Linked DNA regions of Sus scrofa. The protein of the gene in region 1 purifies or fractionates together with the protein of each later gene. This does not show direct contact. Links are inferred from orthologs where the notes say so. Each region holds a gene or a part of one and is shown in the gene's direction. Other genes may lie near its edges.

Region 1 (4,301 bases):
GCAGGTTCTATCAGTACATAGGTGCGCTGAACTAAGCACTTTATATAAGTTAGTGTTTGTGGTTCCTCTGTAACTATTGGAGGTCTTTGTTTTTAGTCACATTTCATCTGAGGAAAGTGACCTCGAAAGGTTATCAATTTTCTCTGTACTCTCTTTTTTCTTTCCACGTATCAGAATGAGTTTTATTAAAATCATTTTGGAATATTCTTTATCTTGATCTCTGAATGTGGGTACATAATTAGAACAAATAAAGTTCAATGCTCACTTCACCCATCCTTTAAATTCTGCAAAGGACAAGGACTCTATGTTATTTATCCTTGATTCCCTGGGACCTAGTACAGTGCCTGGCATGGAGTAGATGCTTAAGAAAGATATGTCTGCTGATGAGATTTTGTAGAGGTCCCGAAGGCAACTTTTTGCCTACATAAAAGTCAAATGTATACATTTAGAGCAATGACCCAGCAAATCAAAATCAGCCTGTGAGGGCAGATTTTCTAACTGAATGCCATGATTACAGAAGAAACCACAGACCGGCCACATGTCTCAGCATGACTCCCAGAGATGAAATTCTGCTTAACAACAGAGGCATTTTGTCTTTGTTTACCGACAGTGGAATGTCTTTGGCAGGACTTTAGTGATTCCACTTCAGCAGCATTTTGACAAGCAAGTTTAGCAGTGGATGAGACCAACAATAGCAAATCAACAGTGAAAAGTTCACCCACAAGTCAAGACCAAACATTTCATTTGAATATTTGACTTGGCAGCACATGGGGGGATTCTCTGAACAGTCATGTAGGATTTGACATGATAATAGGGGAGAAAGAGAACTTCCTCACAGAGCACCACTGTGCACCTCCTGCTTGGCAGGGATTGGAGCACAGGGGTTAGAACTTTGCTGGGTCTTGCGCTTTGTTCTGTTTTTTTGGTAGAACCGACTAGATCGATCTCAGCTTTCAGGGTCTTTGGGTGTCAGCATTGTATGTTTCAAGCATGGAGAGAAAGTGGAGAGAGGACACCGGGTTGAAGGTTGGGCAGAAATGTTTCACTTATTCATCCTCCACTGTCTGGCTGAGTGGCTTTGGACAGGTTGTTTCACCTTTTGTGCTCTCAGTTATCAAGTGCAGGAGTCGGCTGGACTATTTCCTCCATAGACCTCAGTGCTATCAAGGCAGGCCTGTCTCTTATTTGTATTTGTAGTTACAGTCATAAGTATGCAGTAATGTTTTTGGTGAGTTGCACATGTGCATGAACAGTGGATGGATGGTTATTGTATTTATGGTTGGGGAGGGGGTGATTCCTGTTTCTTAATAGAGGCAATCTTGACACTTTAGGTAGGATCATTATTTTTTTGTTGTTGTTCTGCAGATTGCATCACTTTGTGGCCCCAAGGCGCTGAAGGCCAGCACTAACTCCATATCATTATAACCACAAAAAAATGCCCCGCACTTTTCCAAACACACCCACAAGAGATGCTCTTGCTCGGGGTCCCTTCTTTTCCTAACATTCACCCGTGGTAGCCTTCAAATTTATAAAGTGATGCTTTTCAAATAAATGCCATTTACCGAGTCTTTCCTTTTCACCCCAGGCATACGCTATGATGTTGTCATTGTCCGACAAGGAGTCCCTCCATCCTTCATCCCACAGTTCTTCCAGCATGTGGCACAGTATGGCCAGGGCTGCGGCGGAATCCAGTGCCATCCAGTCCATAAGCCACGTATGACATTCCCAAGGTCGACCAGAGTGGGACCAAGTCCAACAGTAGCATGGCTCTTTCATGTAGGACTATTTAAAAGACTGCTGAGCAGAATGCCTTAGAAACCTGAAGGGTCACTCATGTAAAGTCTGGGGACCTTAAACTGAATGATTGAAAAAAAAAAAAAAGAAAGAGAAAGAAAGAATGAAAGAGAAAGAAAGAAAGAAAAAGAAACTATTTATTCTCGATATTTTGTTTTGCACAGCAAAGGCAGCTGCTGACTTCTGGTGGATCAATGCGACTTAAAGTGATTCCGTAAAAGTGAAAAACTTGCTGGGCAGAAGGCATCTTCCAATTCATCTTGCCCTTGGGAGTGGGGGGGTGAGAGGGTGGTGGAGATGGCAGCATTGATAGGAATGAACACTCCATAGAAACTGAATTCTTTTTTTATACAAGATCACCTGACACATGATTGGGAACAGTTGCTTTTAATTACAGATTTAATTTTTTTTTTTTTGCTTTGTTAAAGTTTTATGTAATTTAACCCTTCAAAGACAGAAGTAGTTGGATGAAATGCACACTTGATTATTATAGAAACTGATAACAGGGAGTATTTGTTTCCTATTAACTTTTGCCTTCTTAAGTACATTGTTTAAAACTAGGGGAAAAGGGTATGTGTATATTGTAAACTATGGATGTTCAATGCTCAAAGAGGTTACGTCAGTGAAGTAGCCTGTTCATCACCAGTACCGGTGTACCACTACACGAATAGGTTTGCCAAATCCTTGTAATAACATCTTAATTTTAGACAATCATGTCACTGTTTTTTAATGTTTAATTTTGTGTGTGTGTTGCGTGTATCATGTATTTATTTGTTGGCAAACTATTGTTTGTTGATTAAAATAGCACTGTTCCAGTCAGCCACTACTTTCTGACATCCGAGGCACACCCCTTTCTGAATTTCAAGGACCAAGGTGACTCGACCTGTGTATGGGAGTGCCAAATGGTGTTTGGCTTTTCGTAACATTCCTTTTTGTTGTTGTTTTGTTTTCCTTCTTAATGAGCTAACTACGAATAGATGCAACTTAGTTTTTGTAATACTGAAATTGATTCAGTTGTATAAACGATTATAATTTCTTTCATGAAAGCATGATTCTTCTGATTAAAAACTGTACCCCATATTTTATGCTGGTTGTCTGCAAGCTTGTGCGATGTTATGTTCATGTTAATCCTATTTGTAAAATGAAGTGTTCCAGACCTTATGTTAAAAGAGAGACGTAAATAACAGACTGTATTCAGTTATTTTGCCCTTTATTGAGGAACCAGATTTGTTTTCTCTTTGTTTGTAATCTCATTTTGAAATAATCAGCAAGTTGAGGTACTTTCTTCAAATGCTTTGTACAATATAAACTGTTATGCCTTTCAGTGCATTACTATGGGAGGAGCAACTAAAAAATAAAGACTTATAAAAATGGTTATTTTTTTTCCAGTCTGGTAGTTTCCCTTCCCATGCAATTTTGGTTTCCCTTTGGGACCCAGTGATTTAAAGATATGCTGCCTGGGACCTTGATGCCCTAGTAGATATGTGGAATGTAGAGCATGTGTGTATAGTTTTGAGATGACATGAAAGATAGCCCTTGCCCCAGAGGGAGTTGGACTGTCTCCTGCTCATTGTTCTGGACTTTCTCCATGTGGTGCAAAGCCAAGGCTCAGGTGCTACATGGTCCTTGGGATCAGTCCACATCTTTGGCACCCATTCTGGTTAGGACAGAGCAACGTACAGTTTTTCTTCTCGATTTTATGTAACGTGTGCCAAAAGGTGTTCTGTTTCTTATCTTTGTTTTTAATTACCCAAATTCTGTTAACTCCTTCACGAGGGGGTGGGACCCTTTAACTTTCCTATGATCCTTTCAAGTCTGTGTCCACATGCAAAATATCATGTTTTTATGGCTATAATCAAAGAGTAGATGTGATTTTTAAGTTTTTCCTTTACAAAAAAAAAATCCACTGCATATTGCTGTAACTTCTTCAAAGTAATCATTTTGCAGTTGCTCTAATAATATTCCATCAGGTTTGATCTACTATGAGTTCTTCAACTATTTCATTTTTTGTTGAAAATTTGTTTTTTGCTTCTCCCTAATGTATGCAATTTTAATTTTCATGCACCTAATTGTTTCTGAGTGTTCGTATATGTACACACAGGGTTGGACTGTGAAGCGTGGTGTTTCTGTGTGATAAATTCTCTCATGGGGGAGCCATTTTGAATATTTTTTTGTACATTCAGTACGATGCCAGTGGTTTTAGAATATGGTTATTTCAATGTGGCTGGCTGTAGAGGTTTTAACTAGGCTTGCAGATTCAATAAGTATGGAACATAGAAGTAGATCTAATTGATTTGTTTGTTTATTCATTCTTAGCCACAATGCCAGATACAGAGAGAAACTTCCTCACATCCTTTTTAAATGTCTGTAGTATAGGAATTAAATATATGCGGTAAAAGTGTTGATTTTTTAAATAGAATGTGGGTGGAGGAAGTACTCAGAAAATACTCTAAAGCTATAAATCTGGTCCATACTGGGGAGAAGAAGAATCTAGTGTTTGAGATGTA
Region 2 (4,010 bases), on another chromosome or scaffold:
TGGGGGGCAAGGTCCAGGAAAATTGCTGCTGTAAGTATGTACTACTTGGGGATTTTGAAGTCAAATAGCAAAATAAAGAGGATCTTGGTAGTGATTCTGACTGGTTCCTACTTTAATATGGCCTTTTTTGCTGTTGTTTTGATGGGGATATAGGAGTGTGTTTTTGAGGAAAACTGTAAATGGTAGAGTGAGCTAAGAGTTCTCCTTTGCAGACTGTCAATCCCCTATAAAGTGGCTGGCTTAGAGTAGCTACTTGATAAATGTTGACTTGACACAGTGACAAAGGTATTCACAAATTCCAAGTTTTGAAAGTCCTTTCTCTGAGCTTTCTGCTCCAATCTTCCAGTGCCCAGCCAGCGGAAGCAGTAATAACGGAGTAGCTAGGGTATGTAGATTTTGGAGAAAGTCAAATCAAACCCTAGACCATTAACATCTGAGAAGACCAATTTCCTTAATATGCTCCATTTATAAAGAAGGACTAGAAATAATACTTACATCCCAGCGTTGTTGGGCGTCTCAAATGAGTTAACTGGTACCTATTACAAATGGGTATCAATGAAATCTATCATAAATGCAAATGCTTAGAACCCTGTCTAACTCATAAATGCATTCCATAAAATGCCCATTCAAACCTAGGCAGTACATTCCACTCCTTAATATCTGTAACAGGTCCCCTTAATAGATAAGAACCTCTGAGCAAAAATCAGCAAAAAATGAAAAAATAAATGAAATTCAAGCAGACTCGGTTGAGGGTCCGTGGACTGCTGCCTGGAGGATTCGGCAAGGCCAAAGGAGTGCGAGAGAGGGGTCTCCCTGCGGCGCTTGCAGCACGTGGTCCGCCCGGGCAGGAGCTTCGCGACAGTGGGGGAGGGGAGCGGCGTGGGACGTCGCGGAAGGGGTCTAAGCGCCCGGGCTACGGTTGAGGAGGCGCCGACTGCGCAGGCTCGGGATAGGCGCAACCACTGTACGAAGAGCCGAAGGGGGGAGCGTTTATCCGGCTCCACGCTTCCTTCACCCACTTACGGAGAGAAAGCCTGTCCTTAAAAAAAAATCATTTTACGACTGTATTTGGAGCGGCCCTCTGCAAGTTGCTCATCATTAGGAGGCCTCTTTACCCAGGACTGAAGAGGCCTCTTTCTCGGGTCGTGTCCCCTCTTCCCCCGTGGAGTCGCAGTGGATGCATCCCACCTCCCCTCGGCCTCCGGAGGTGGTTTGGCTGCCCCCTCCCCCTCCCCAGTGTCGCGAGTTGGCGCCGCTGCCACCCCCCGGTCCGCGCTCTCGGCCCCTCGGCCGGGCGGTACCGAGCCCTCCCGGCACCCCCTCCTCGCCTCCCTCTGGCCTGCCTTTCCCCGCAGGACTGCCAGTTCAACCTTCACCCCAGCCCTTTTCTTTCGGCGCCGAGCCGCGGCGGCAGCAGCAGCAGCAGCAGGAGTCCGAGCCCGGAGGCGGCGGCGGCGGCGGTGGCCGGGGAGCCCATGGCGTACAGTCAGGGAGGCGGCAAGAAGAAAGTCTGCTACTACTATGATGGTGAGAGGCTGGGCTGGCGGGAGGGTAGCGGGCAGGGCTGCGGCGCCGGGCCTCGAGCCGCACGGGGCTCTGCAGCAGCCGTCGCGAGTGGTCCCAGGTGCGAGGGTTCAGGTCAGAAGGAGGGACCGATGTTTGGCCGCATCCTAACCCATTCCCGACCCGGCGCCGTCCAGGAGTCTCGGCCAGGGGCTAAGTGGACGCCCCACTTTTCCCTCCTGGCCGTCTTCCTCCGGCAGTCCGGACTGCCGCCGGCCTACCAGGCTTCGTGCTGGTGTGAAGCAGACGGTTCTCCCGCGCGCCTCTCCCGCCCGCCACTCGTGGGAGCGGAGGTTTGGGGGTGCTCTGCACCGGCCCCTTGTACCCATCCCTCCCCCCGGGTCAAAACAGCTTCCCCGGCCCAGACTCCACACAAAGCCCGACGGCCGCGAGAGCTCCGCCCCTCCCGCCCCCATCCCTCCCCTCCCGCCCCCATCCCTCCTTACCTCTCCCTCCCCTCCGTCCCTGGCTGGCCGGAGAAAGGCTGTCCCCTCCTCCGCGCCGGCCTCTCCCCAGACCCCTCAACCAGGGTGGGTAGCGGAGAGTAGCTCCTGAAGGTGGGGGCCCACGTCCGCTTTGGGGTACACTCACACCGCTGTTTTGCCTGGGCTTCTTTCCTCTCCTTTGTTTGCCGCTTTCTTTGAGCGCCACTTTCTTAGCATTCAAATGAAAAAGCTTCACTTCCTCAATAAAAATGAGGGTTTTCGAGTTGGAGGTAGTCAGTCTTCTCGGGAAATTAAGACGGTGGTAGGGCAGCGTGGGGCTGCTGCTGCTGCTTGTGTTGCAGCTCAGACCCGATGGGTCCTGGCTTGCCTCTGTGAGGTGGTTACCACCCACTTCTTTGTTGCTCTTTGTTTGATCGGGAAATATACCCTGCTTTGGAGGTGTAGGGAAGCTAGCATTGGCATCTAGCTTGCGAAGGCTATTTCTAGGTGGTGGGAGTCGCGGTGCAGGAAAACTTTGAGGAGTAGTGCAGAAATTGGTATAAATAATGATAGTCTTGAGCTCATGGAACAGTGTGTAAAAGTCATATAATTTAAAGGGTTCTTCTCAATTGCAGTTTGAGCAGTAACATTAAATCTTTTTGAATCCGGATGCTATAAATTACACTAAACAGAGTAGTTAGCTGCTTTACAGATTGCACAAAGGCATTAACTTAAGTAGGTAAATAGTTCCTAGAAAGAAATTGTAAAATTTAACAAAGAAGCTAGATTCAATGACCTGAAAAGGTCTATCCAGTTTGAATGAAGCAATACAAATTTTGGATGCTTTTGCCACATTCAGTGTATTATAAATCACAAAGTTTTAAAGAGTGGTGGAAAGATCTTAGAGGACTAGGTCAGAATAAATCTGCCTTTAATTTTAAAATAGCTGTACCATATCTCAAGTTAGCAAGGATAAATTATTTTGATGCCTGTTTATATGAAATAACCACCTGTGTCATTGTGGAAAAATCTAAAATCTTGGAAAAGAAATTTAAATAGTTCAGTATTTGGTAGCCAATACTCAGTAGTAACAGCCATGTTTTAAAGACCTGTTTTTTGAGAAGTCCGCTTATATGTGTGATACAGATTGATCTGAAATTATGCCGTTATGGAGGGGTGGAGAGAGGGATATATTTTAATTTTAACGTGAATTATTATAAGGCTTCTTAAAGTTCTTTCTTTAAGAATTCATGCATATTTTGAGTCACTGGCCTTTCCTTGCATTGCCTGGCTAAATTGGAAAGTAAATAACAATATGTGTAAGTTAATTTTTAAAACAATATTGTTTCTGAGGTTTAGAGATTTGTTCTTGTCGGGTCTTGGGGTAAAGGACAAAGGTTTTAAAAGTTTGGAGTAACTAGTGCTAATGCTCTTCCTACAGCTGTTAGTTGCTGACAGTGATAGGCTCTGGAGAAGTAAGCTGCTTGAAACTTGTGGTCACCAGGCTTGAACTGCAGAACCAGGAGGTACACCTAAGCGTCAGTTTTATCAATAGCTGTATATTCCTGGGCCCATTTATGATGAGCCTTTGTTGAGGGAATGGGAGCAAGCTGTGGTCCCAAGGGCAGGATGCAGACTTGATAGAAAGAGTAGTCTTGTGATTGTGACCTAGTCAGTACTTTATGGTGGACCTTTATAAAGCTTTATTTGATGGCCAACAGCAGGTGTATAACTAACCGAATGTTTGGATATCTATCCCTGGTTAGGTTATCTGTCTTTTGTCTCTGGCTCTTCCTTGCCTCATTTTTAGAATGGAATTTGTAGTTGCTTATATTTGGAATTTGCTTTGGGTTCTTTTTGGGGAGGTGGGGGTAATAACATGTTTTGTAGAGGTTATTAAATTGAATAGGTATCATTATGCTAATTCTTTGTATATGATAGTATATTACGCTGTGTGTAGTTAATTCCAAAAGCTTGCATTCTCATCACCACAAAAACCCTATTATGTTTATAAAAGTAGTG
Region 3 (3,642 bases), on another chromosome or scaffold:
GCAGGATCTGAGTTGCATCTGTGACCTATACCACAGCTCCACAGCTCGCGGCAGTGCCAGATCCTTAACACACACACACACATACACACACTCTCTCTCTCTGCAGGATCTGAGCTGCATCTGTGACCTATACCACAGCTCGCGGCAGTGCCACATCCTTAACACACACACACACACACACACACACACACACACCACTCCCCCTCCAGTGCCACATCCTTAACACACCCACACACACACACACACACACACACACACACACACACACACACACACACACACACACACACACACACACACACACCACTCCCCCTCCAGTGGACACTGGAGAGTCGCTTTTAAAAAACTGAAATCCTGGAGTTAAGGATCTGGCATTGCTGTAGCTGTGGTATAGGTTACAGGTGTGGCTTGGATTCAGTCCCTGGGTTGGAAACTTCCATATGCCAAGGGGTTGTAGCCAAAAAAGAAAAAAAAAATTAAAAATTGAAATCCTATAGGTACCCAAGTCTCACCCTATCTTGGAGGCACGCTTCTTTGATAGTTGGGCTGACAGGTCCAGATAAACCTATAGATGCTTTTCTCAGGGTCCCATGGTCACCAGATCTCTTGACTCTCTCACCCCCTGCCCCAATTAGAGCTTCCGTACAACGACTGCTTTGAATACTTCGGACCAGATTTCAAACTTCACATCAGTCCTTCCAATATGACTAACCAGAACACTAATGAGTACCTGGAAAAGATCAAGTGAGTATATCCCCCCACCCCAACACCCCTCGTTTAACATTCGAGGCTCTGATTGGTCCCTGATCAGAGCCCAGCCACCTCTCTACCATTGGCCATAGACAGCGACTGTTTGAGAACCTGAGAATGCTGCCCCATGCACCTGGGGTCCAAATGCAGGCCATTCCTGAGGATGCCATTCCAGAGGAGAGTGGCGATGAGGATGAAGAAGACCCTGACAAGCGCATCTCAAGTGAGACCCAGGGGCCCCCACCCTACCACTCTGTAGGCAATTCTGTCTTCCCTGCATTGTTCCTGGCTCCACATTCTCCACAAGCTACCACCTGTTGAGAAACTCGAGGTCCTGTGCTTATAATTTAAGGAGTCTAGCTTCCTTTCCCTTTTGATGTCTTTTGGGGAACATGCAGGAAAGCACTGGGCAGACCATGAGATAAAGAATTTTCTCTCTCACCCATATTTCCCATTACCTCCCAGTCTGTTCCTCGGACAAACGAATTGCCTGTGAGGAAGAGTTCTCTGACTCTGATGAGGAGGGAGAAGGTGGTCGCAAGAACTCTTCCAACTTCAAAAAAGCCAAGAGAGTCAAAACAGAAGATGAGAAAGAGAAGGACCCAGAAGAGAAGAAAGGTGGGTTAGGGTTGGGCCAGGACTTGGGTCTTGAGCCCCAGGCCCTCGAGGAGGAATTTATGTAGGACACTGGGAGGAGGGCGCTGACTTGGGTCCTGCCAGCTCCTGTAGGCCTCTTCTCCGAAAGGATGAAACTCAATTCGTCTTCACTGGCTGATTGAGCCCTCCCAGGCCCCAGAGCCAGGGACATGCCTGGGCTCCCGGTGGTCAGGAGCGTGGCTCTCAGATACCACCCCACTTTCCCAGGGGGCTGCCTCCACCCACAGGGTTCAGGCTCTAGCAGGCTGGGAAACCGGTTTGACCTGTTTGTTCTCTACAGGGCTCGCCTGGAGGGCTGGGATGGGCTTTTCTCTTTTGTATGTCCAGCCAGCTGTAGTGTTGGGGAAAGGGTTTCAGGGTAAGTGGAGATCCCATGGGTCTTTCCAAAGGGGCTGCCCTTGGCCATCCCTGCTCTCTTATATTCTAGAAGTCACAGAAGAGGAGAAAACCAAGGAGGAGAAGCAAGAAGCCAAAGGGTAAGGAAGGAGCTGTCTTATCTCCCTGGCATTGGAGCACCAGCCCCTTTGTCCCACCACCAGGGACAGCTGGTCCAGCTTACAAAGGCTTCTTTCAGGGACCAGTCTGTGTTTCTCTGCAGTTCTAGGCAGAGCTAGGAAGCCCCAGCCCTCAGCAGTCACCTGGGCAGCCCGGGCGCTATGGAAATCATTGTACCCATACTTGGCCTCAAGGCCTCTAGGGTGGGTTATCTCATTCCAGTCTCTGCTCTCTCCACAGGGTCAAGGAGGAGGTCAAGTTGGCCTGAACAGACCTCTCCAATTCTGGCTTCTTGCCAAGTTCCCCGTCTTTATCCCACAACCCCTCAGATTTTATATTTTCTATTTCTGTGTATTTATATAAAAATATATTAAATATAAATATCCCCAGGGACTAGACAGGAACCAGGCTCCTGAGCCTAGGGCACACGTGTTAGGTTTCTAATAGCTGCCTCACCATCCATCCCTCTCCACCTCTTAATTTCAAACCATAACAGGTGGAAGGGATATACCTAAGCAGCCATAGGACAAAATCTTGACGTGACTAATAACTTTGAAAGGGTGCCCTCGTCGAGTATTTTAGAAGGGTTGACTGGGTCTTCAGGGATTCCTTGTTTTTTCAGGCTCCTTAAGGTAACATCAGCCATTTTTAGATTGGTTCTGTTCTCATACCTTTCCACTGCCCCCCAGTGAGCCAAGAAACTCACACTGCCTGCCCTCTCTTCCTCCCCCAATTCTGCAGGTGAAGATTGGTAGTCTAGGTTCCTTTTTGAGATACTATTTCCATTTTTGTGCGAATCTTTGTAATAAAATGGTACATTTCTATACCCTCCTGAGCCTGTCTCCTAGTGGTATCCCTGGGTTCATTTCACTTCCACTTCCCTGCCCTTAAGTGTACACGAGGATCTGGGCAACCCCTCAACAACCTAAAAACCCCACAGACTTACCTGTCTTAACCCTCCTCAAGGCTTGAGGTTAACCAGTCTTCTTACCCTACCCCAGAAGACCACTCATTAAAAAGCACCACTAAAGGGACGACATTTATTCCTTTTCCAAATGTTACAATAAAACCAGGTGGAAGAGAATGGTTTTAGCAGTTAGAAAAGAAAAAAAAAAAAGTACAAATCTGGGGTTTGGCCATTAAAAGTTATTTACAACAATGGGAGGGGGAAAAAAAAAAGACAACAAGAAGTTGTTTCACATTACAGACCTCCCCCCACCCCAAAGCTTAATACTTGCTTACCAAGTCAAAAAAGAGACAGTTGATTCACAAGCTGGAGGTTCGAACTTGAGTAAGACATTTATAAAAACCTAGACAGGGGCTCTGTCCTCCCCAGCCCAGGTGCCACTAGGCACAGCACGAGAGACTAGAAACTCAACAGGGGAAGGCTGGACACTCAGGATTTGGGAGTGTAGGCACCCCCAGATCTGGCTCAGGGATTTGGGGAATAAACAAAACCTACTTGGAAAAGAATTGGGGGAGAAAACCAGCAACTGCCTTCTGCATGGGTGGGGACAGGGAAGGAGGGAGGGCCAGGGGCAGGAGCATTTCACATCACTAACCTAACTGGGGAGACTGCAAGGGACCACCTTCAGCTGGCCTTAGGAGGAAGACCAGATGGATGATGGGAGAATCCACAGGAGGGAGAGGAGAGGGAACGTGGCTAGGGGGCAACAGCCCCTTCCTTTCTGGGCACAGGAAGGCAGCCAGGGCACCAGGTCCAGGCAGTGACCTCACAAG
Region 4 (4,587 bases), on another chromosome or scaffold:
AACGACCAGGGCCAGGTGCGGCTGCGAGCCGGGCTGCCCATCTACGAGTGCAACTCGCGCTGCCGCTGCGGCTACGACTGCCCCAACCGCGTGGTGCAGAAGGGCATCCGCTACGACCTCTGCATCTTCCGCACGGACGACGGCCGCGGCTGGGGTGTCCGCACACTGGAGAAGATCCGCAAGAACAGCTTCGTCATGGAGTACGTGGGCGAGGTAGGGAGTCGGGGCTGGGCGCCTGTTCCCGCCGCCGCCGTCGCCGCCCCACCGCTAAGCGCAGTGCGCCGGGCTCGCCCGCCCCTCTGTGTGCCTGCGGCTTCCCCGCACTCCCGGTGCGGTGGGCGAGGTGTTGGGGGCGGTGAACCCCAGTGTGAGAGACCCCACCCCAGCCGGGGTGAGTGGTCTAAGCAGGCGGGTAAAGCCCCCCTGAAATACCTCCGGGCTGGGCGGCCCTCCCTCCCCAGGGGAGCCAGCAAAGGGCAAAAGCGGGAACCGAAATCCAGGCAGCGTTCCTTTCAGCGGGCCCTGTGGGCTGCGAGGGGTTGTGTCACCTGACGGGGCACTTCCTCTTCTCATTTCCCCCGAGGGCCCAGCCGTCCGCCCAGCGGTGCCTGCCCAGGGAGGAGCACCTTTTGCTAGTCCGCCCAAGCGGGGCGCCGACGGCCTGCCGGAGGCGGGCGGGAGTGCCTGGGGGAGGCCGGCTTCCGGCTTCCTCCTCTGGACACGGCTCTGGAGAGCCGGCTGTAGGAGGCAGGCCCCCCCACCCTACCAGGCAACCCCAACGCTTAGCGGCGTGGTGCGTTGGAAGTCCGTTCGTTGGAAGTCCGTTCGCGCCTCTCCCAGCCCAGCATGGGCCTGTAGGTGGTGTCCTTCCTCGTGACGGCGCAGACACCCGGGTTCCTTCCCTCTTGTGCCTTTGCTGTGCTTCAGGGCCTTGGAGCCGCCTCTGATCCTCAGCACTGCGAGGCAGGTGGGCTGAGGCGGGGCAGACCCGGGGAGGCCTGGACGCGGTGCGCATGTCATGTCGGCGTGCACCTGCTGGTGGGAACCGACTCACGGGCCATAGCTCGGGGCAGAGGCCCGCGAAGTGTGACTTAGCCTTATGCTCAAGTGGAAAATCCAGAGGGGTGTGGGTGAATAACTAGCAAGTGCCCGCCACAGCAGGTGTCACGTTCTACACTGAGACACGGTGGGCACTTGAGGTGGGGCAGTTTTTTGTGCCGTGGGACCATCTCATGCATCGGGGAACATAAAATACCCCTGGACCGTGATCATTTAAATCCCTGAGTGTGCCCTGTTGCGATGACACCCCCCAAGCACCCCCCCCATTTCCATAGGTCTCTTGGGGGTGTGATTTGGCCGGGGAGTGACAGAATTGGCCTAAGGGACACACACCTGAAGCTGTCTCCACAGTAGTGATGACACTGATGGAGAGGAGCGGCTCCTGCTCTGGGGAACTATACCGTAGAGAGGGTCAGAGCACCGGCGCAGGGGCGGGGGCGGGCAGAGACCGGCTAGGGGCGGAGCGGCCACACTGCAGAGGACCCTGACGGTCTGGACAAGGTCATGTCCATGCCCCAGAGAATCCGGTGGTCGGATGGAGGAGATGGCAGAGGACCTGACAGTCTAGAGGAAGGAGGAGGTGGCCACAGCCCAGAGGGTTCCCGGCAGTCTAGAGAAGGGAAGGCCTGACAGTCTGTAGGAGGAAGAGGTGTCCGTGTCCCAGAGCCACCTGAGGAAGAGAGCGAGCGCTCCAGAGGACCCTGGCAGTCTGACTTAGGAAGTGTCCACACCCACACTGCCCTGACAGTCGGGAAACTCAAGTGTCCTCACCCCCGAGGGATAGTGACAGTCTGAAGGAGCTCGGGTCTACACCCAAGAGGCTCTGACAGCCTGGAGGAAGTGTCCACACCCTCAGCGCCCTGACACTCTGGAGGAGATGCCGAGACCTCAGAGGGACAGTGACAGTGTGGAGATGTCACACCCCGGAGGGATGTCCCCAGGGTGGGGGAGGAGGTGGCCACACCCACAGGGGCCCACAGTGGCAGAAGAGGTCCAGAGCAGCGGGTCCCTAGCTTCACTCTACTGCCGGTCTCAGGGGGGCACTGAGCGCAGGAGAGGCCTGGCAGGCGAGGGGGAGGAAGTGTCTACAGCCCATTGGCACCCTAAGGTCCCCACCACTCTTCCTTAGTGCCCTTGCTCCTCCACGCTGTAAACACAGGGCTTGCTGAGGACCCCCTCCCTCCCTGTCCTTACTCTTCCCACTCTGCACACATTCTCTTCAAGCTGTTTCTTGGTCTCCCTCCTGCCACGTTCAGTGACTTCCAGCCCCCACCCCCCGGCATCTGCAGACCTATGGGGCCTCCTAATAGCACCACAGGCCCCCAAACTGCCAGAGCCAAATGCATCTTCCTGGGTCCCCCTCCTATGAGGCAGCGTGGCAGAGGGGTGGGGGAGGTGGTGGACCCTGGAGTCTGGGTGCCTGAGGCTGAATCCCATCTCCACCCCTCCTCAGCGGCCAGCCTCTTTGTGTCTCAGTTTCCTAATCTGTAAGATGGGAAGATAAGAGCACCCACGCACCCACCTCATACACTTGTTATAAGAACTAAATGAGTTCCGAGGTGTGAAGCATTTGGGGGAAGCCCTTGAATGGAGTTCAGTACACAGCAAGTCCCACATAAGTGTTGGCCGTTAGGGTCCAAAATTCAGAAAAATCCAAAAAGGTCAGAAAGCCAAATGTTTCCTGTGCCGCCTTTGGCTACAAACCCCAACTGGACCTGGTAGAGGCCCACGTGTCGTCTGTTTACCCCACCTGACGTGCATGTTCATAGATTTCATGGCAGAAATATGAATTGACTTGATTCCGTGAGGCTGTCCTGCCGGGCACCCTCCCTGTTGACCCTGCTGTCCTCCCGCGCCCCTGCGCGACAGCCCCACCACGCGAGCTGCCCCTCCGCCTTCTGCCGGGACGGCCCGACCCCCGCCCAGCAGAGACCATATCGTGTTTTATCCATTCGGCAACACGCACTTCATATTTTAACAACTCTGAAATGAAGGTGGATCTCAATTTGTTTAATTAAATGATGGCGTATCATCATTTAATTAGTAGCAGCTCTTCCTTTCCTGGGAAAGGGCACACGCACTAAGTGAGCCTGTTGGGATTTCAACCAGCTATGGTACCTCCCCGAACACAAAACCACACAGACACGCCTTTCACACCCCTGATCTTGGGTTCTTCCAACCGCCCCTGTCGGGGCGGGGGCGGGGGGGCATTACGGCCATGGTCATCCCCATTCTACAGATGTGAAAACTGAGGCCCGGAGAGGGAGAGTGGGTTTAAAAGAAAAAGAAAAAAAAGCCTATGTGTCTCAAACTCCTGTGCTGCCCGATCTGGTGAAGTGTTGTCTTTTGGGTTTGGGGGAGGTTTTCTGGGGGGGGAGGCGCTGAGGAAACAGGCAGAGAGAAGGCTCAGGATCCTGTATCTGGGAGGGGGCAGAGCAGCAGGTGGCCTCCGAGGTTCTGGTTCCCTTTTCCGGCTGCCCGCCTCTAGCCCGTCCGTCTTCCCCCGTCCCTCCGGAGGACTGCTAGGGAGCAGGGACCTGGACTGATTTGTTCTCAACTCAGCCCTTACAGAGTGGGACTGAAAAGAAGACAAGAGAGAAGGAACCGTTTGTGCCCTGGAGGGTTTGCGGTGTGACTCACTCCTGGGGAGACTCAGGGAGCAGGTAGGGGCAGGACAGGCAGGAAGATGGAGCCTGGGGAGGGGGTGGCCGTATTCCCTCTGGTTGGGGAGGGGCCCGGGGGGCTCCTGAGCCCCCGGGAGAGGCTGCCCTTTGATCCCGGGGCTTCTAGAGGCGGCGGTGGTGGCGGTGGGTGGGGACTGGGAGCCTCAGGAAGAGCTGGACAGAGAAGTGACATCTGCTAGAGCTGACGTCGCAAGGAAGAGCGCCGTGTTCTCTGGGAGGTGGCGGGAAACGGACCTGGCTGTACTTCTCTTCCAGCGCGTCTGTGGCTCCTGTCTTGTCCCTCGGGAGAGAGTCCCCGCATTTCAACTTGGTCAGATCCCTTTTATGATCTGCAGTTCGCCTCAGTGGTGGTCTTTCTTTCCCATTGCCCCTCCAACTCTTAAGCCTCGTAGGCATCTGCATCCATCTCTGTCACCAGAGTGACCTGTGTCGCATGTGACCGTGAGGGCCAGAGGGGACCTGGTCCCTGCGACTCTCCCACCAGACATTAACCCCTGAGGGCCAGGACTGAGCCTGCTTCCGGTGTCTCCCCGACCCAGCCGTGACCTCTGAGTACCGGGACCAGGCTCAGGACTGGCCTCCTAAAAATCCCCTGAGTGAAAGGGCACAAGCAAAGATTTGGGGTGTGGGGGAGCCAGGTTCCTCAAGGAATGGAGCTGGAGCCTGGGGCAGTGGGCATTGTGGCCCGAGGGATAAGCCTTGGGCTTCTAAGGGGGTCATGGCTCAGCACTCAGGGCTCAGCGCAGAGCAGAGGTGGGAGGGGACGACGTAGGAGGCAGGGAAGAGGCTGGAGAAACCCGAGGCTGGTCAAGACCGGAGGCCGGAGGAGCCAGGAGGGAGGTCT
Region 5 (5,345 bases), on another chromosome or scaffold:
GGGGGGTGGGGACGTGCTGGGGGCAGAGGTGCCGGGTGGTGAGGGCCAGTGTGGAGGGAGGGGCCTGCGGCCTGAGGGGCAGGAGCGCCTGCGCTTGAGGTCACGTGGCACCGTCCACCCTCTTCTGTGCCACCTCCCCGCAGATCCCGGGCACCCATCCTCCTGGTTTCCCACAGGCTCCGGCCCTCCACCGCGGCACCGCCTTCCGTGGCCAAGGGGAGCGTGGGGGGCAGAGGCGCCTGCGCTGGTGCAGGGGTCAGGGCCCTGGCTGCCTGTGGGCCGCGGTGTCGCTCCCCAGCGCTGCTCCCTGATGCACCAGGCGTGCGCACGCGGACGCTGGGGCTGGTACGAGCCCCACAGCCCTGCCACCTCCAAGCCCTGTGAGGTGTGAGAGCAGGGACAGCCCGGCCCACGTGGCATGTTGGGGGACGGTTTGCCTGGACAAATGGCTTTGGGCCACATCACCCCCAGGCGGTGTTGCTCAGGGGTCTCGGTGCCCGGTCCAAAGGTGACCAGCCGCAGGAGTTCCCTCGTGGGCAGCAGGTTCAGAATCCAGCGTTGTCACGGCAGCATCTTGGGTCACTCCTGTGGGCGTGGCCATAAAGAGAGAAAAAATGAAAAGTAAAGGTGACCAGCCAGCCGAGTGGGAGGTCCCGGAGGCCGTGCTAAACTAGCGCTGGGCACCGCAGCCCCAGCCTCTGCTCCGGCCCGCGCCCCACCCCTCCCAGGACGCCCAGTGCCTGCTTCCAGGTGCCCTGCTGCCCAGAGCAGAGCGGTCCCCTGAGGGCTGCTGTGGCCCGAGAGGCAGCGCGTCCTCCAGGAGCAGAGCCCTGGCGTGGCACCCCTCCCGGCTCCTGGCCTGCCCAGGTCCCCTGCTTTGCCTCCACTGTGGCAGCCCGTGGTCACCAGGGCAGAGTCCCTTCTGGAGGAGGGACCCTGAGCCCCTGTGTCCTTCTCAGCAGCTGAGGTCAGGGGCCCGGGCTCCAGGGCGCGGGGCCGGTCCTGAGCCTGCAGCCCCTGGCCCGCCTCGGTGGCCCTCTGCATCTGGGAGTGGAGCCCCTGCCCTGGGGAGCCGGGACAGCCGAGGCGGGGCTGCGGTGACACCCTGTCCCCCCAGGTCGCGTGGGGCAGGCGGTGGCGCTGCGGGCCAAGGCCTTCGGCTTCAACGTGCTCTTCTACGACCCCTACCTGGCGGACGGCACGGAGCGGGCGCTGGGGCTGCAGCGGGTCAGCACCCTGCAGGACCTGCTCTTCCACAGCGACTGCGTGACCCTGCACTGCGGCCTCAACGAGCACAACCACCACCTCATCAACGACTTCACCGTCAAGCAGGTCTCGGGGCGGCGGCCACGGGGCGAGGGTGCAGCCTGGGCGCACGAGGTCAGGGGCAGACGGGCTTCTGGTGGCCGGTCTGCTGGTGCCACCGCCCCCACCGGGCCCCCCGAATCCTGGGGCCTCCTTCCCTGACCCGATGGCCCCGGGCCTTCCAGGTGGCTGTATGCACAGCGCGTGTTTGCAGGCACAGCGCACCCGCGTGCGGTGGAGAAGTTTGGGTGACGACTCCCACCCACGTGTGTGTGCACATGTCCTGTGTTTACGTGTGAGCGCGCGTGTGGCCGCGCGTGTACACTGTTCACGCGCCGGCCGTTCTGTGCGTGTAGGTTGTGCAGATGTTGGCGTGTGCTGGGGTCTTGCCTGGTGCAGGTGTGCTTACGGACACTTGTGGGCACGTGTGTGTGTGGGGACGGGTGTGTGTGCTGTCTGCCCGTGGACAGTGGGGCTAGTGACTAGGGCCAGGCAGCCGCTGGGGCCTTGGGGGGACAGCAGCGGGGACCGTGGCGTGAGGCCAGGACGGGCGGGAGCCCACAGGGACGAGAAGAGCCACCTGAACCGAGGGGCAGCAGCCGAGCCCTGCAGCAGCTGGTCTGGGGGTGAAGTTGGGTCTGGGGAGGGTCCTCAGGTCACACGGTCTCTGTCTTCCAGATGAGACAAGGGGCCTTCCTGGTGAACACGGCCCGGGGCGGCCTGGTGGACGAGAAGGCGCTGGCCCAGGCGCTGAAGGAGGGGCGGATCCGCGGCGCGGCCCTGGACGTGCACGAGTCGGAGCCCTTCAGGTGCTTCCCGTGACGCCCTGGCGTCGCCGAGATCCCCCCTGCCCCGGCTCGCACCCCACGCTGGCCACAGAGCTGCTCGGCGCCGGGGGGGGCGGGGGGTGGCCCCACTGCCCATGCACGGTCTCCAGTCCTGGCCTCAGGCCGCCGAGGGTCCGAGGGCCCGGGAGGACTCAGGCCTCGCCCCCAGCCTGAGGTCCCGTGGCAGGCAGACCTTCCTCCCAGGGCCCGGCCGAGTCTCGGGGGCTGCGGGGCCAGGATGCTCGCGTCCCTGCGCCTGATGGGGGCCGGGGAGACGGAGGGTAGCTCCAGCTCTGGGCGGGGTGGGCACCCTCTGCCCGCCTGGGCGCTCTGACTGCCCCGTGCTGTGTAGCTTTAGCCAGGGCCCCCTGAAGGACGCTCCCAACCTGATCTGCACCCCGCACGCAGCCTGGTACAGCGAGCAGGCCTCCATCGAGATGCGGGAGGAGGCGGCCCGCGAGATCCGGAGAGCCATCACAGGTGGGCGGCGGCCGGCGGCGGGTGGGCCCGAGGCCCTCGTGGGGGCCGCCTCCATCTTCCGCTGGCGGGGACACTGCGCAGAGACCAGCCCCCATGGGGGACCCCTGCACACGCACAGCCCCAGGTGCTGGTGTCACGCTCGTGACACTCACTGTCCCACAGGGCTTTCTGCACGTGTATCTTTTCTCCGCCTTTTAAAAAGCGGTTTGTGCTTGTGAACCTCTTGGGCTGGGCCCTGCCAGCTTCTCCGGGAGATGCCCGGGCCCGTCAGATGGGCTCGGAGACCCTGATGAGCTGAGGGGCCCCGGGCCACAAGGGTGACGCTGCCCAGACAGGCAGGATCCCAAAGTGCCTCGGGAGTGCTCCTCGGGGCCCCTGTGGCTCCTAGGGGGGTGGCCCATGCCACCGACGAGCCCCCACGCTCCTGGGGTCCCCCTGGGGGCAGCTGACGTGGGCACTGTCCCTGTCTGTGCCGTCTCCAGGCCGGATCCCTGACAGCCTGAAGAACTGTGTGAACAAGGACCACCTGGCAGCAGCCACCCACTGGGCCAGCGTGGACCCAGCCGTGGTGCACCCCGAGCTCAACGGGGCCGCCTACAGGTGAGCCCCCGGTGGGCGGGGGCCTGGACTTGGACGGTTGGGGTGACACGCGTGGGGGCAGCCTTCGGGGCCTGGTGGCCACAAGACCAGCTCCCTGGGGGGCGTTCCCCGGGGGGCGTGGAGGGGGCAGGGCGGGGGTGCCTTCAAGGCCGCCACCTGCCTCTGCCGCCGTCTCCGCTGGGCCCACAGCCCAGGGTCCCTGCCCCCGGCCTCACCTGCGGCCCTTCCTCTCCCAGCAGGTACCCCCGGGCGTGGTAGGCGTGGCCCCCAGTGGCATCCCAGCCGCAGTCGAAGGCATTGTCCCCAGCGCCATGTCCCTGTCCCACGGCCTGCCCCCTGTATCCCACCCGCCCCACGCGCCTTCTCCAGGCCAAACCGTCAAGCCCGAGGCGGATAGAGACCACGCAAGCGACCAGTTGTAACCCGGGCAGAGCTCCGAAGCCTCGCCGCCGCCGCAAGCGCCGAAGGGGCCGCGCCCTCGGACAGGCGTGTGCAGGGGCAGCGCCGACGGGCGGCCGCGGCCTCCAGAGATGGCCCGGGCTCCAGGTGGTGAGAGGTGGCGCCGGCCTCCTCGCGTCACTGTAGTTGTCCCGTCCCGAGGGCCAGCCGCTGCCCTGTGTCCTTCGCGTCCTTGTTAAGCAAAAGCAGTTCGTAGTTAATTCCGTCATGAATGTTCCCGTCTGTGCACAGTCTCTAGAACATTACAAGGATTTGTTTGCTTAGCTGTCGGCAGAGACGCCCGCGGGAGCGCCGGCGTCCGCCCAGGCCGCCCCGTGAGTGCCGCGCGCCCCGGACCAGGCAGTTGGCAAACTTCTCAGGACAATGAATCCCTCCGGTTTTCTTTTTACGCCACACAGTGCATTGTTTTTTCTACCTGCTTGTCTTATTTTTAGGATAATTTAGAAAAGCAACACCCAGGCTGTCTTTCCTAATTTTGGCATGAACCCCCTTGTTCCAAACGAAGGCGGCGCCGCCAGGCGGGCAGAGCGTGCGCCTCTGCCCCGGGGGCCAGGGCCCCGCGCCCGCCGAGCGGAGCCGTCCTGCTGATGTGGTAGGCTAGCAATATTTTGGTTAAAATCATGTTTGTGACTGTAACCATTTGTATGAATTATTTTAAAGAAATAAAAATCCCAGAAAGAGCCGGCACGCCCAGCGTCTGTGTTCACGGCTTTGTTTCCCGGGTCCCTGGTGGGTCTCCGTCCCGTCTGTGGTGGCCCTGGGCCTGCAGTGGGGAGCCCGGGGGGCTGTGACCCTGCTGCTGCAGAAGACGCAGGCGGTGCGCCCTCGGGCAGCCTGGGACCTGGGACCCCCCCACACCCCACCCCCCGCCCCAGGGCGGCAGAGGCCGCTGGCTCTGCAGCTCGCGGGACGCCTGTCCCGACGCTCCGGCTGCACCAGCTGGTCCTCCTCGCACCACCTCCCGTCCTCAGGGGCTACCCCGTCCCCCGCGTGTCCCCTCCGCCACCAGCACGGCTGCAGCTGGTCCTCCGCCTCCACTGCCCTCGGATCCTGCACCAGGGCCGCGTCCTTGGTGGTCCTGCCAAGCGGCCGTCTACAGACCCCTGCCGGTGGGAAGGTTCTGGAGGGCACCCTCGGTCCGGCCACGCCCTGACGGGTGAGCTCCCCTCGTGGCACGCCGCCTGTCCCCGGGCTCTGCTCTGCACCTCGGCCCTGCGTCTGTGGTCCTTTCCGCTGGGAGGGCACGGCTCTGCCCTCCGTCATCCCTGGGGTGCAGGGAGAGTTAATTCTGCAGAGACCCGCTGGCCTCCAGGGAGTCGTCAACAGCAGGGAAAAGACGGCATGACAAGCTGGGAGCTGGTAATGGAGAGGCTGAGAGCTTCGGTACCCGCTTCAGGAGAGAACAGAAGCCGAGATCCAGACACACGCGTCCGTGTTGCAAAAGCAGCCGGAAGAAGAGGGACAGGATCAGGCTGTGAACTACGGGTGTGAATAAATAATAGGCGTCAACCTGGAATGGGTCCTAGAAGGCACCGTAGAGAGTGTCAAGTTCAACAGCGCTTTAGTAGGTAGTAAAATAAATAAGACAAGTGCAGTGAGGGTCCGAAGTGAGAAGGAGGGCGACCCGTTCCCGAGGTCAGGGGAATGACGCGGGGCGGGGGCCCAACTGTCCGG

The links.
Region 2: the proteins of MECOM (region 1) and HDAC2 purify together in Homo sapiens (affinity purification with mass spectrometry; 3 studies listed by BioGRID and IntAct, with this or other methods). This does not show direct contact. The link is inferred for Sus scrofa from reciprocal best matches to the Homo sapiens genes MECOM and HDAC2.
Region 3: the proteins of MECOM (region 1) and HDAC1 purify together in Homo sapiens (affinity purification with western blotting; 5 studies listed by BioGRID and IntAct, with this or other methods). This does not show direct contact. The link is inferred for Sus scrofa from reciprocal best matches to the Homo sapiens genes MECOM and HDAC1.
Region 4: the proteins of MECOM (region 1) and SUV39H1 purify together in Homo sapiens (affinity purification with western blotting; 3 studies listed by BioGRID). This does not show direct contact. The link is inferred for Sus scrofa from reciprocal best matches to the Homo sapiens genes MECOM and SUV39H1.
Region 5: the proteins of MECOM (region 1) and CTBP1 purify together in Homo sapiens (affinity purification with mass spectrometry; 6 studies listed by BioGRID and IntAct, counting the BioPlex papers as one, with this or other methods). This does not show direct contact. The link is inferred for Sus scrofa from reciprocal best matches to the Homo sapiens genes MECOM and CTBP1.

Annotation. Positions count from the first base shown.
Region 1 is NC_010455.5:107,752,077-107,756,377, reverse strand, and holds the end of MECOM (MDS1 and EVI1 complex locus protein EVI1), read left to right. Parts: intron 1-1,585; coding exon 1,586-1,720; 3' UTR 1,721-3,171; downstream 3,172-4,301.
Region 2 is NC_010443.5:79,898,798-79,902,807, reverse strand, and holds the start of HDAC2 (histone deacetylase 2), read left to right. Parts: upstream 1-1,210; 5' UTR 1,211-1,475; coding exon 1,476-1,527; intron 1,528-4,010. UniProt on the Homo sapiens protein: Histone deacetylase that catalyzes the deacetylation of lysine residues on the N-terminal part of the core histones (H2A, H2B, H3 and H4).
Region 3 is NC_010448.4:88,782,484-88,786,125, forward strand, and holds the end of HDAC1 (histone deacetylase 1), read left to right. Parts: intron 1-635; coding exon 636-744; intron 745-842; coding exon 843-973; intron 974-1,215; coding exon 1,216-1,368; intron 1,369-1,834; coding exon 1,835-1,883; intron 1,884-2,142; coding exon 2,143-2,170; 3' UTR 2,171-2,737; downstream 2,738-3,642. UniProt on the Homo sapiens protein: Histone deacetylase that catalyzes the deacetylation of lysine residues on the N-terminal part of the core histones (H2A, H2B, H3 and H4).
Region 4 is NC_010461.5:42,803,206-42,807,792, forward strand, and holds part of SUV39H1 (histone-lysine N-methyltransferase SUV39H1), read left to right. Parts: coding exon 1-213; intron 214-3,621; coding exon 3,622-3,722; intron 3,723-4,587. UniProt on the Homo sapiens protein: Histone methyltransferase that specifically trimethylates 'Lys-9' of histone H3 using monomethylated H3 'Lys-9' as substrate. Also weakly methylates histone H1 (in vitro).
Region 5 is NC_010450.4:474,177-479,521, reverse strand, and holds the end of CTBP1 (C-terminal-binding protein 1), read left to right. Parts: intron 1-1,117; coding exon 1,118-1,332; intron 1,333-1,983; coding exon 1,984-2,114; intron 2,115-2,484; coding exon 2,485-2,612; exon of another isoform or gene 2,613-3,094; coding exon 3,095-3,212; intron 3,213-3,406; coding exon 3,407-3,407; intron 3,408-3,448; coding exon of another isoform or gene 3,449-3,451; coding exon 3,452-3,634; 3' UTR 3,635-4,352; downstream 4,353-5,345. UniProt on the Homo sapiens protein: Corepressor targeting diverse transcription regulators such as GLIS2 or BCL6. Has dehydrogenase activity. Involved in controlling the equilibrium between tubular and stacked structures in the Golgi complex.